Linked DNA regions of Arabidopsis thaliana. The protein of the gene in region 2 interacts with the protein of the main gene of each other region in a pairwise test. Each region holds a gene or a part of one and is shown on either strand. Other genes may lie near its edges. The genes, in order: OBE1 and AT1G67430.

Region 1 (6,860 bases), on a different chromosome or scaffold from region 2:
CATCCTTCTAAAGTACTCGGTGGCTGATCAGATGTACCATACCCATCTGTAATCCTATCTCTCTTCACATCCTCAATAGATTTACCATCCTCCTTTTCACCTTCAAGGAGAAAGCCATACTTCTCCTTCTTCTTCCTATTTACCTTCTCAAGAATCTTCGAAAAGCTCTCGTTATCCTCACTAGTATATCTCCTAAAGAACTCATCTAGGGACAAATTAAGATCTATATCTTCATCTCCATCACCAGCATCTACTTCAACACCATGAAATTCTCTACCAGATACTCCAGGAGTTCTAGGGGTTTTACCATCAAATTCATCTAAAGGAGTGAAATTTCTCAGAAAAGTAGATCCAGGAGTTTGAGTTTTACCCTCGGTATCTCCAACATGATGATTCGCCTTCTTTCCACGCCTCTCGATAATCTTCAACTGGGCATCTCGGATTTGAATCGGGTCACGGGTTTTCACCGCTTGGATCCAATCGAGCCGATCCCTAAGCTTAGTTATATCTGGAAAGTAATCACGCTCGATGATCTTCTCGATTGCTTCAACATAAGCGTCCTCATCGAGAACTCTCATCCGTTTTCTAGGGTTTCGAGGAATGATCTCCGAGGAAGAACTGCGAGGCGTTGATCGGAGGGTATCATCGGAATAAGAAGACGGCGATGGAGAAGAAATCTGACGAGGAGAATGACCAGGTGAAAGAAACATCTTGAATCAGAAGAACGCGAATTCAAAAAGCACGAATGGAATTTGGAGCCGATGAATTTTGTCGAGAATTCGGACACTAGGGTTTGTTTTTGGGTAGACAGGAAAACAAAACGATGGTCGATGATTGCATCGGCGATGATATAATATTCCTTATCAATCCGATTATACGCGTTTTGTTTCCAGAATATTACATTATTTCCCCAAACGTTTTGATTCCTTTTGCTTTATACCCCGTAAGAAATCAAATCGTTATTATAACCCAAACATGAGGACGTTATTGCAAATAACTACTCTGTAATATCCATTTGGGCAAAATATTTTCTTTTTAAAGTCGGTGGCGATGTTCTTTGGCTCTCATGTTGGCTCAAATATAAACTATTTAAGGTAACATGGATCTCCCTCCATTAGCGAAATCCACAATTCTCTAAATCCGAGTGAATAAGTATCGAGATTTTGGCAACACTCTGTGTCAAAGCTTGCATAACATTATGGCCCAACATAGACGATCATGTGCAAAATTTGAATACAAAGACCACAATACTTCACACACAAATCCAACCTTAATTGATTCGGATTTTTTTTTTAATACAAACAAAGAGAGACAATACAAACATCTAAGGATTGGATCTGAAAGGATTTCGCTGGTTTGATCTTGGATCTACCCTTGGCGACGATGCATTGTATCCATGCAGCATTTCTCTGATCTTTGAGTACATCACTGCTTGTGACGCTTCACCACCATTCCCACCACTTTCCTGCTCTTTTATCTTTTCAAACAGATACTCTTTCTCTGCCTCCGCCTCGCTCAGCCTCAGTTTCAAATAGTTACTTGCGTATTCCTCTTCTGTTTTCTCCTTTTTCGCTTTCACAATCCTTTCCAATCTCTCTGCTTCCACTTTTGCCTCGTTTGCTTTTAACTGAAACATCTCTGCCTCTGCTTGCTTCAGCCTCACTATCCTCTCCACCTCTTCTATCTGTTGTTTCTTCTTCTGCCTCTCCATCTGCAGTTCCGCCACTTGCTTTGCTTTCTCTTCTACCTCTCTCTCGCATTCCTCAAGCCCCATTCGCGCTTTCTTGTACATCCTCGTCTTTTCCTCACCCACTATCTCCATTTTCCTCAGTGTTTCCTTTACAACTTCAGCAATTCGGTTGCATGCATCTTGAGGTGCTATCGTACCCCCACCTTCTCCGCTTTCAAGGCTCTTTGGAGAGTCCAATTCAATTTCTTCATACACAAAACATGGTTAGGTCTATAAAGAGTAAACCCTTATCATATAACAATAGCGAGTGGGCTTACCTTGGAAAAACATGAGTATCAACTTGGCCGCTGTTGCTTCAGCCAGTCCACCTTTAATCTTCTCCATAAGCTCCTCACACTTCCAGAAGAGTTTCCGGCCTCTTGTATCTTCGCTTCCACGGAAAATCCTACTAACGAAGTCAAGTTCCTTCATTAAAGATTCCCTATCCCAGTTTGGTGCACAGTGCTGAAACACATCTTTCACCCACCCCAGCAATTCAGAAGTATGGTTGCACGCTCGACACTTGAACAGCATTTCTCCCATCCCAGATACGCTCTTGGGAGAAACTCCCATCGAAATCTCCCCATCCCTAATAGCACAATCCGTATGAGTCCAATGAGAACACACGTCGCAGCCAATCCAGCGGCATGTGTTGACTGCAAAGTCAAACTTGTTACATATCACACACATGCACAGGTTGCAGAAGCCTTTCCTATTAGCGCATATCTCACAGGGACAACCATCAGCCGGGAGTTCGTTTTGGCAAGCTATGTTTCTGCATCTCTTGTACACAAAGATCTCGATGAGTGATGACTGAGAGAGATTGATGTTTGGGTGCAAGAATGCTTGGATACCAGTGTTTATAACCACAAGAACTTCAAGCTGCACTCGGTGAGCCCTGACAAGTGTCTTTGAAGTTAAATCAGATCTCGTCTGGACAAACTTCTGCAGAAACATAAACTCATCTATAGGCTGCGCACCATTTCCTTCAAGGATAGCCTTAAGACCATTCTTTAACTCCTCGAGATATTCTTCTGGTAATCGATGCATTCTCTCAGCGACTATGTCAAGTCTCTCTCTAGCTATGTCCCGTAGCGATACCTTATCAGCAATGGAAACATGGCGGATCACATGTTGATCATGAGAGTCAGGCCCTGTCTTTCCGCTATCTGTCTTCCTTCCCATAATAGATTTTGAGGTTGGCCAAGTTTCTTGAGAGCTAGCACTTTCAGCTGGTGATTCACGCACAATGCCAGAATTAGACCGTGACAAGTGGGGATCTGAAGATACAAGCGAAAGAGATGTTTGTAGTTGCTGACGTGGAGGTAGCATCTGGTGAGGAAGATTGGACCCAGATGATGTGCCCATCAATTTAGTGCTGCAGACACCAAGATAATGTCAATGTCAGATTCACCCCAAGGAACACATAAATCCCTAAAATACTTTACGACCAAATCACATACTAATTCAGGAAAGCCCAAAACATTTTGCAAAATCCCTAGAAATCCACCGACAGATAAAAACTACATCTCCTATGTTCAAATTGAGCTGAGATGATTAATCACTAGTGGAAGCTCAAAAAATACAAACACATGACAGAGTAAACACAAAACAAGCGCTAGAAAAAAACAAGTTGCTCGAATCTGTTTGCCCCGTAGATTATACGCTATAAAAGTCAAACACGAATCTTCATAAAATCAGAAAATCTTGCAAGTACCAAAATACATAGTCATAAACTGAATCAACCCTCAAAACAACGCATCCAACTCGATCACGAGAGTTATTGACTCTTTTTGTCACCGAATTTTCAGGACCAGCCTCGAACTCAACAACCAAAACAGATACGTTTTGCTGTATTCGCCTCAGACATAAAGAAAGCACCAAACAGACGAGAAAGGGAAAAAGACCGCCGGAAAATTAAGGACTCACCGGAGAGACGACGGGAGAGGACGAACGAGGAACCGTGACTCCGTGAGAAACCCAAAGGAAAGATAAATTAAACACTTTTTTGCCTGTTAAGACAGAACTATAAAAAAGACATACAGCTGCCAGTTCATTAATCTCTAACGGTTAACCTGACCAGCCGGTAACCTTCGACTTTTGTTGACTTTTTTAAACGCGTTCAACGTTTGAGTCGAATCTGTCCAAACAAAGTTTTAAACCAACCCAATTCGTACGATAACAACATCCCTCTATTTAATTAAAAATTACCATATGTCCCAAAATTTTAGTTTTGTTAGATAAAACTCGAAAAATCTTTCCAAAAACACCCCAACTGAATTTTTCTTAACGGTTATTAAAATTATACCGAGGAGGATCAACACAAACTGGAACAAAAACAAGCTCAATCAATTATTAATCTCTCCAACATAAATAGAGATTATCATTCGCTCATTGCCTATTGTTCTGAGTTTTGGGGTTCTACTTTTACTGCTACTACTAATAAAAGAAGAAGAATATGATGAGAATCGTAGCAGGGACATAAAACATTAGGCTTGTGTTCATTTCTTCCCATCCACTTCGACTGGTTCAACCACTTCAGCTTCAAACGTCTCTGCATCGTGAGAATGTGCCATCTGCTGTTGCTGCGGCTGCACCTCAGGGCTTGACCATTTCCCGGAAAGAGCTACATCCATCATCTCATATATCTTCCCACCCAGCTCTGCTGGATTATCGGGCTGTAGTTTTGAGAAACAACAATTAAGTTTTACCAGTATTTACTTTATTTCAATTCTAGAGACAACAAAAAGTTAAGAATGTTAATGTAGAATAGGACTCACCGTGAACCCACTAGAAACTAGTGCTGCGTCATACATAAGATCTATGGCTCTCATTGCATCTTCGTCATTTGGGTTACTATTGTAAGCAGCCTGCAGGGTGCAAGAAAAAAACAAGCCAAGCTCAAAAAGCGGCTCCTAGATTTAATTATAATAGCCAGGTACAAGTTATGATGAATGGTGACTTCACATTTATGTTCTTGATAATTGAGTGGTCGGGATTGATCTCAAACACTCTTCTCCCTTTCATGTAGTCGAGGCTTATTGTGTCACCAGTTGATTGTGCCTTCATTAGCCTGTCCAGATAACATATTCTGTGTTAGTTCACCAGGGGCAAAAAAGGAGAACGGAAATCCTTGCTTAAGAAAAAGGTCAGATCTTACCTCTCCATATTGGCTGACCAACCAAATTTACCAGATACAAGAACACAGGGGGAAGAACTAAGACGGTTGGAAATTTGAACACTGGCAACCTTGTCACCCAATCGTTTCTTTATCCAGTCACAAGTCTGTCCAAACTCTTTTTTCACTGCTGCCTCTTTCTCCTCGTTCTTGTCTCCTGTCAATACAAAGATCAAAGCCAGAATTTGTTATTATACATAAGTGATTACCTGACATGCTAAATCAAGGAATTACATCAGGCACTTGCCTAGATCCAAGTCTTCCTTGCTGATATCTACAAAATCCTTCTCCTTATAAGCTTTTAAACTCTGTACGGCAACTTCATCAATAGGCTCTACCAAATATAGTACCTACGTTCACAATACAAAGAAATACATGTCAATCACCTCTGAGTTAATAGGAATATTTGCAAGGAAGAACAAAACGAGGCCCCATTCAGAAGAACAACACATACTTCAAGTCCTTTCTCCAGCATCTTTTCGAGGAAAGGTGCATTCTTAGCACTTGTAATGCTGTCAGAAGCAATGAAGTATATGGCTTTCTGTTCAGGTTTCATGTTCTCAACATACTCATCCAAGCTGATCATGTCATTCTCACTCTGGGAGGAGAAAAATCGAAGCAGTGGAGCTATACGCTTGTGGTTTTCACGGTCTTCGATGCACCCTAATTTCAAGTGTTTGCCAAAATTATCCCAAAACTTCTCATAGTCCTGTATAGGTTAACAATGCCATTCTCATTCGTCAGGAAAATCATCACCAGAACGTAGCAGTGATTTCTAAAGGGAATTAAAAAAGGTTAAACTGTAAGCTTAGGGGAACAAGAGTTATGAAACATACTTCTCTGTTTTCACTCAAGGATATACCCAAAATCATATCAAAAGCCTTCCTCACTAGACGTTTCTTCATGATCCGCACCTTGGAGACACAATACAAAATCGTAAGCTTAACATAGCATTGCACTTAAAACAAAACATATATCATAAAGGCTTTGCATACGAATTGGATATGAGCGCTTACTATGCGACTTTCTTGAAGAATCTCACGTGATACATTAAGTGGGAGATCATGCGAGTCCACAACACCTTTAACAAAGCTCAAGTACCGAGGAAACTGGCCACAAACACCACAAAAATGATATCAATATAATTAGAAAGACAGAGGTTTCTTGAAAGAAATTTGAACCACACCAAAAGAAACTTTTCTCACCAGCTCCCCATCAAAGTCATCTGAAATGAAAACTCGTTTAACATAGAGCCTTATGTTCTTTGTCTTTTGATTGACTATGTCATCCTTCCCCGATGGTGAAACAGGTGGCACATATAGGATAGACCTAAACTCGACTTCGCCCTGAGCATTGCCAACAAGAGAATCAAAGAGCATTATATTTCAGTGGATCGTCTAACAAAGACGATCTAATTCGGCTGTTTAATGGAAATATCCAATTCAATAAATGTGTTCCTTTGAAAATACCTCTGTCGTGAAATGGGATGAAGCCAATGGGTCCAAATACTCATTGAAAGCTTTTCTGTAAAACTCATTGTATTCTGCTGTTGTCACCTCCTTAGGGTTACGCAGCTGCAATAAATAAAATACACTGTTAAATTGATTCAGAGTGCACTCAAGATACATTGACAAGTCCTTACCCAAATCGGTTGTGTCTCATTTGTAAGCTCCCAATCCCAGTATCTCTCAACAACCTTCTTGGTCTTCTTCTTTTTCTGTTACAAGAAAAATAGTCCCCAACCCTAAGCCAACTTTTCTTACACATCTAGCTATCTTCTGATGCTGATTAAGATATTTCCAGAAGCTGATCAAGGTATTTCTTAGAACAGGTAAAGAGACGCAGGTATATATACCTCAGTTTGGTCATCTTGGTCATCTTTTTTTGTTTCAGTTGGATCATCTTCAACCTCAACCTGCAAGAGAGAGAGCCAAATATACAAAGCCAGTTAAT
Region 2 (5,903 bases):
TTCGCTCTTAGAGTCTCAAGCTATTGGTACTGTCGCAACAGCTCAAGCGAACTTTATGCGCGTCATTGTTCAAGATGTAGCTAATTCTGTGACGAGTGATGATGATAATGATTCTTCAAAGACTGGTGTTGAATTGCTTTGTGTGGTGAGAGCTGTGTTGAAGAAAATACGAAGGAGAGTTTTAGTTGGAGATAAGGTTCTTGTTGGATCTATTGATTGGGTTGATAGAAGAGGAATGATTGAGAATGTGTTTCATCGACGTTCGGAGATTTTGGATCCACCTGTTGCGAACGTTGATCATTTGCTTGTTCTTTTCTCTTTGGATCAACCGAAACTTGAGCCGTTTACTCTTACTAGGTTCTTGGTGGAAGCTGAATCTACTCGTATTCCATTAACACTTGCTTTGAATAAAACTGAACTCATTAGTGAAGAGGTAAGGAGGATGAAGAAATTGTATTTTAGATCACTTTGTTGGTTTAGGGATTGATTAGAATCATAAACTTGTTTACAGGAATTGGAAACTTGGAAGATAAGGTTGCGTGGATGGAACTATGAACCATTGTTTTGTAGTGTGGGAACTAAAGATGGACTTGATGATATTGCGTTTGTTCTGAGAGATCAGACTTCTGTGATTGTTGGACCTAGTGGTGTTGGAAAGTCGAGTTTAATCAACGTATTGAGGAGTAATCATGGTGGTGGTGTGGTGGAAGATGAGAATTGGTTTGAGCCTGTAAGGTTCTTTTGTGTTATTTCATTTTACAGCTTAAGTTTTGTTTGCCAGATTCTTATGAGTTGAGCTTTTGTGATATTCAGATGTTAGGTAATAAGTGGTTTGATGATCAGCGAGTAGGGGAAGTTTCGAGTAGAAGTGGTAGAGGTAAACATACAACACGAAATGTATCGCTACTGCCGGTTTCTGAAGGTGGTTACCTCGCTGATACTCCTGGCTTTAACCAGCCTAGTTTGCTGAAAGTAACGAAGCATTCACTAGCTCACTGTTTTCCTGAGGTTTGTTCTTTGTACCCTTTTGCTTGTGCCAATCTCCCTTATTGGCTGACTGTGACGATGTGTTACTTTTTAATTGTTTCTTTTAGATACGGAACATGATTGAGAGCGAAAAATGTGGATTCAGAGACTGCTTGCATATTGGGGAACCAGGATGTGTTGTGAAAGGTGACTGGGAAAGGTATCCTTACTACTTACAATTGCTTGATGAGATCAGAATCAGGGAAGAATTTCAGCTTAGGACTTTTGGAACCAAAAGGGAAGATGATGTTAGGTATTGTTGGGATTTCTCCTGAAAGAACAGCTTTATTTTTAGATTGAGATTGGTCGCAGTCACTAATGTTGTTTACTTTGGAATGATACTTGACACAGGTACAAGGTGGGAGACATGGGTGTGAAACATGCTGAACCACGGTTAATGCCTAAGAAGCATAGGAGAGAGTCAAGGAAGAAAACGAAACAGACAATGATCAGTGAGCTGGATGAGTTCGAAGATGAAGACAGTGATTTGTACATAGAGAACGACCCAATCGTCCAAGCCATTGAGAATGAGAATAAAAGACAATGAGAGAACTCAAGTTTCCACTATAACTAAGTCACATGATGTAAAAGATTGTACAGATCTTTTTAAGTTCTCAGCTCTTTTGTTTGTCTGAATTATTGACTAATCGAACTATCGAACTAACCAAAACTTGCAGAACCATGATCACTGATTTCATAAGTCATAGAACGAAAATTTCCAAGATAAATCTATCCATTGTCTTACAAAACGATTCGAGCTAAAGAAAAAAGAGAACAAAATCTCGTTCAAGAACACAAGGGACATGAAAATAAAGAAAGAAAGCTTAAGCTGCTGATTTCTTGGACTTGGCAGCCAACTGAGTCTCCGGCTACAATTATCAAAAACAAATACGAAATGAGAACACTGTTGTTATTAACACTAGTCCTGAATTTTTCCAATGAGATGAAATATATATTACCTCTTTTTTGACAGGCTCTTCCTTCTCTGACAAAATCAACTCAATGTGGCATGGGTTGGACATGTAAGCTGCAACCAAGAAAGACAAACTGAGTCATACAATGGATTACAAAAAGCTATCAATGTAAGTGATTTACAAAATCTCAAACTTACGGTTGATTCTTCCGTGAGCACGGTAAGTCCTTCTCCTTTGCTTTGCGGCCTGGTTCACTTGGATGTGTGATATGAAGAGGGCATCAACATCCAAACCTTTCACCTGAACATTCAAAGTCAAAATATGCTTATTAGCAAAAGGGTACAGAGAGAAACAAGAAAAAGTTTCCTTAATTAAATGAATGCTCGTCTCACCTCAGCATTGCTCTCAGCGTTCTTGAGCAAATCAAGAACAAACTGAGCAGACTTGGCTGGCCAACGTCCTTGACCATTAGAGTGCCTGTTCTTAGCTTGAGCAGTTCTCCCAACACCTCTGCAGAAACGTGTGAAGGGAATTGCTTGCTTGTGAGCTATCACATCCTCAAGGTACCTCTTCGCCTTGATCAATGGTAGCTTCCTGATTGCGTGCGCTGTTTCCCTAGTATTCTGTTTCACACAATCCGAAGAAAACAAAACACAATAAGAACCAACCAACAAATTCAAAAACACAGTATTAATTATGTGGAATCACTAACCAAAACAACAAGTCACTAAAATTCTACATAGGTTCACATAAGAACAATAACAAAGCAATACTAAGCGATTAACCAAAAGCCCTAAAAATAAACAAGCCTCAAAAAGTGAAATGATAAATCAATGTACCATCATGTACTGAATCTTATAGTTATGAGATATATAAACATAGATTCACCCAATCACGATGACCAATTCAATTTCCCTGAAGTATACGTGAGATCTGTCAAATTGCAACAGAACTCTGCTTTTTCTCAATCAGGTTTAACCTAAAACTACAATCTCCTAATCATAAATCTAACTACATCGAATAATCAAAATGACAATTGACAGAGCTATACATACCTTGAAGTGAACCCTAAGATCGGATCCTCTAGCCTTGCAAGCTGCAAAATCAAAACCAAAGGATTACCACAAAGATCAAAACAACGAAATGGTACTAAGAAGTTGATACAAGGAGCTTTACTTACACTTGGTCTGATTGTCGGGTTCTTGCGAGTACTTCACCTGCGAAATCAGCAAAGACAGGGTAAAGAAAATTAGGGAAGAAGATTTCTAGGTCAAATCAGCGAGAAGAGAGATGGAGTTTGAGAAGCTTAAGCAATTAAGCAATTACCATGGCGGCTAATAGAAGAATCGGCTGCAGAAGAGATGTGAGATTTGTGAAGACGAGAGTTTTTATATAAGAGTGAAGCAATAAACCCTGCGAAACCTAGGTTTAAATGGGCCTTGTCCATTTTTAATGGGCTTTCTAATAATGCCCATCAAGACTATGAATTGGTAATTAACAATTACTTATTACAAAGGTTGATATCCTTACTCATTTTTGTTTCATCAGGCCAGATGTATTTATTTTATGTAAGTAAAATCTCTCTTCATTACTTTTTTTTATAAGAAATGCAATTGATTAATTCGTTCTTATAACCACAATTTTTTTGAAAATAAGTTAATTAATCGGAAAATGAGCTAGAGATCCAATTTTCACTATTTTGTTTTGTATTAAACTAACCAACTTGCATTCTTTTAGTTGAAATTAGTTGTTACTATGTAATATGGCCTAAAAACTGTCCAATCCATCATTAAATCTCTAAAATAAACATGGTGAGTAGTTTTCGGGTCTAAGAATAGAGTTATGCTCAACTCTCATCAGGTTCAATAGAATTCTACTTACTTATCAAAAAAAAGTGTACGTATTTTGTATATATTGGTGGAGTATGTTGTTTTAGTTGTAGATCATTTGCTTAAAACTTCATTTTTTGTTTTATATATATAAATATGAGACAACAATCACGAATGGTTACTATGTCATTTGACTTAATTGTTATACGTAATTTCTTACTTACTCAGTTATATCATATGTCATGTCATGTCATTTGACTTACTTGTACGTAAAATATTATATGTAATGAAAATATAGAAGATTAACAAGTTTGCTACATGAGTAATGATTGCTTCATATGTAGAAGCCAATAAGATCTTGAATACCTTGGGAGGAAGCTCTATCGATTTCATGGGGGAGAAACTAGCTAAGTATACTATCGATATCATTGAAACCTGAAGAGTTGATTCAACATCTACTGATATCGCTGATAAGCGTATCATCACACATATTAACGAGTGGATTGACGATTATTTGATGGTGCACCACGAGGGAGGAGTTTTGGTGGTATGCATCGGAAACGTTGACCTTCGTGGCTCAACTTAGAAATGATAGGACACATTATTTGATGGCGCACCACGATAAAATAGCTGTCGTTTATAGAGTCTTACTCTTGTCACATATTTGAGTCCAAAAGATAACGAAAAAAATAAAAACAATATTTTGAAAAATTATTTATATGAAACAATATTATTTATTTTGTTGCAATTAGACTTATTCATTACCTCGTGGCATGTACGTGGACTTTGTAATTGTAACAGACACTTCTATTGGTTTTTCATGTGTTTGTTATTTATGTGGTTTTTCATGTGTTTGTTATTTAGGTCAGTACGGTTGTTTAGCTTACTCTTTTAAATTTTTTCATTTGCAAATTGCAATTGTAAGGACCACTTGTATTTAGGTCCGTTATTTAGCTTATTCTCTTAAAAATGCAGAGAAACTATCAATTTGTGGTATTACTCTCGGTAGACAATAATGCTAATGAAACTTCTCAACAAAACAAAAAACAAGACTATATCTTTTGATCATGAAGTTAAATTAAGGATAAAGTTAAATTAAGGATATAAGACTATAGTTGCACCAATCAAAGTATAAGATTATAAATTATCAAAGAACCAAGTAAATGTACACAATTACTATATCAACAAAGAAAATGTACTTAAGACTTGCTCATGTTAGTATGATTTAGGTATAAATAGAGTATGCGGTTCCGATGTCAAAAAAAAAAAAACTTTCCCATGTTAAGAACGGATTTATTTATTCTCTAATGTTTTAGAAATATCAAAAGGAGAATATGAAATAGTCTACGATCAGAACAAGTAAGTAGAAAGAAAACTAGTGTAGGCAATGACATCGGACCATTTTGGGAAAAGACCCTTCAAATGTATAGTTTCTTCATCAAGACGTTGATCAAGAACAGCTACATCTACTCTCACTTCTTCTTCACTACTTGCCTCTAACCAGAAGTTCCACTTCTCATCGCTGTTGCCACTCAGTCTCAATATGTACGAGGGAGGACCACCCGGTGGGAGTTCAGGTGCTGCAACAACGATTAGTCATTTTGGTTTTACGGTTTTTAGTAAATGCTTTAAGAGAACGAAAAAGAGGTTCTGTGTGTGTCACCTGGAGGTTTGCCATCGGCAAAGGACCACCCTGATAACGGTCCGGTTATGTTCAAAACCGTGACCCAAATCTCCTCCAACGACCTGCAAATGGAATAGTTAATAACCAACAAGACCAATAGAAGTTCTTTATGGAGTCCAACTAACCCCAGAGAGAGCTCCAGATGAACTCTGCGAGTTCCATTTTCAAATGTTGTTTGCGGTTTATGCGCTTGTAGGAGTGGGAATTGGCTATATCGTTCTAAAATATTGTTGGCTTTAGCAGGGAACCTCCCGTTTGTTGTTAATACACATGAAATAGGGAAAAGTGCCTGCAGATACCAAACAATTCTTTACTTCAAAACTGAAAACACTTGCTATCTTACCAATAGCATGTACATAGAAACGAATCTAATGAACGTACCATCCAAGCTTCTTGAGGAGACGCTTCAGCGTTTCCCAATGAAAAAGAAGGGCCAACATGAAGTTCCTT

What was found.
Region 1: the proteins of AT1G67430 (region 2) and OBE1 interact in a two-hybrid assay, tested with the Arabidopsis thaliana proteins (one large-scale study listed by BioGRID).

The regions. Positions count from the first base shown.
Region 1 is NC_003074.8:2,481,341-2,488,200, reverse strand, and holds OBE1 (potyvirus VPg interacting protein (DUF1423)), read right to left. Parts: upstream 3,748-6,860; 5' UTR 3,216-3,747; coding exon 3,193-3,215; intron 3,108-3,192; coding exon 2,008-3,107; intron 1,936-2,007; coding exon 1,325-1,935; 3' UTR 1,075-1,324; downstream 1-1,074. Other genes in the region: AT3G07790 (DGCR14-like protein), read right to left, coding at 1-710; Hsp89.1 (HEAT SHOCK PROTEIN 89.1), read right to left, coding at 4,231-4,407, 4,510-4,599, 4,697-4,802, 4,890-5,064, 5,155-5,257, 5,362-5,616, 5,744-5,821, 5,924-6,016 and 4 more. UniProt on the Arabidopsis thaliana protein: Probable transcription factor that acts together with OBE2 for the maintenance and/or establishment of both the shoot and root meristems, probably by controlling the expression of the meristem genes such as WUS, PLT1 and PLT2 and of genes required for auxin responses.
Region 2 is NC_003070.9:25,259,575-25,265,477, reverse strand, and holds AT1G67430 (Ribosomal protein L22p/L17e family protein), read right to left. Parts: upstream 3,345-5,903; 5' UTR 3,270-3,344; coding exon 3,267-3,269; intron 3,158-3,266; coding exon 3,121-3,157; intron 3,037-3,120; coding exon 2,996-3,036; intron 2,905-2,995; exon of another isoform or gene 2,772-2,904; intron 2,564-2,771; coding exon 2,333-2,563; intron 2,241-2,332; coding exon 2,138-2,240; intron 2,054-2,137; coding exon 1,986-2,053; intron 1,896-1,985; coding exon 1,851-1,895; 3' UTR 1,621-1,850; downstream 1-1,620. Other genes in the region: emb1688 (Minichromosome maintenance (MCM2/3/5) family protein), read left to right, coding at 1-433, 512-730, 814-1,008, 1,095-1,279, 1,378-1,573; AT1G67420 (Zn-dependent exopeptidases superfamily protein), read right to left, coding at 5,120-5,349, 5,433-5,742, 5,835-5,903.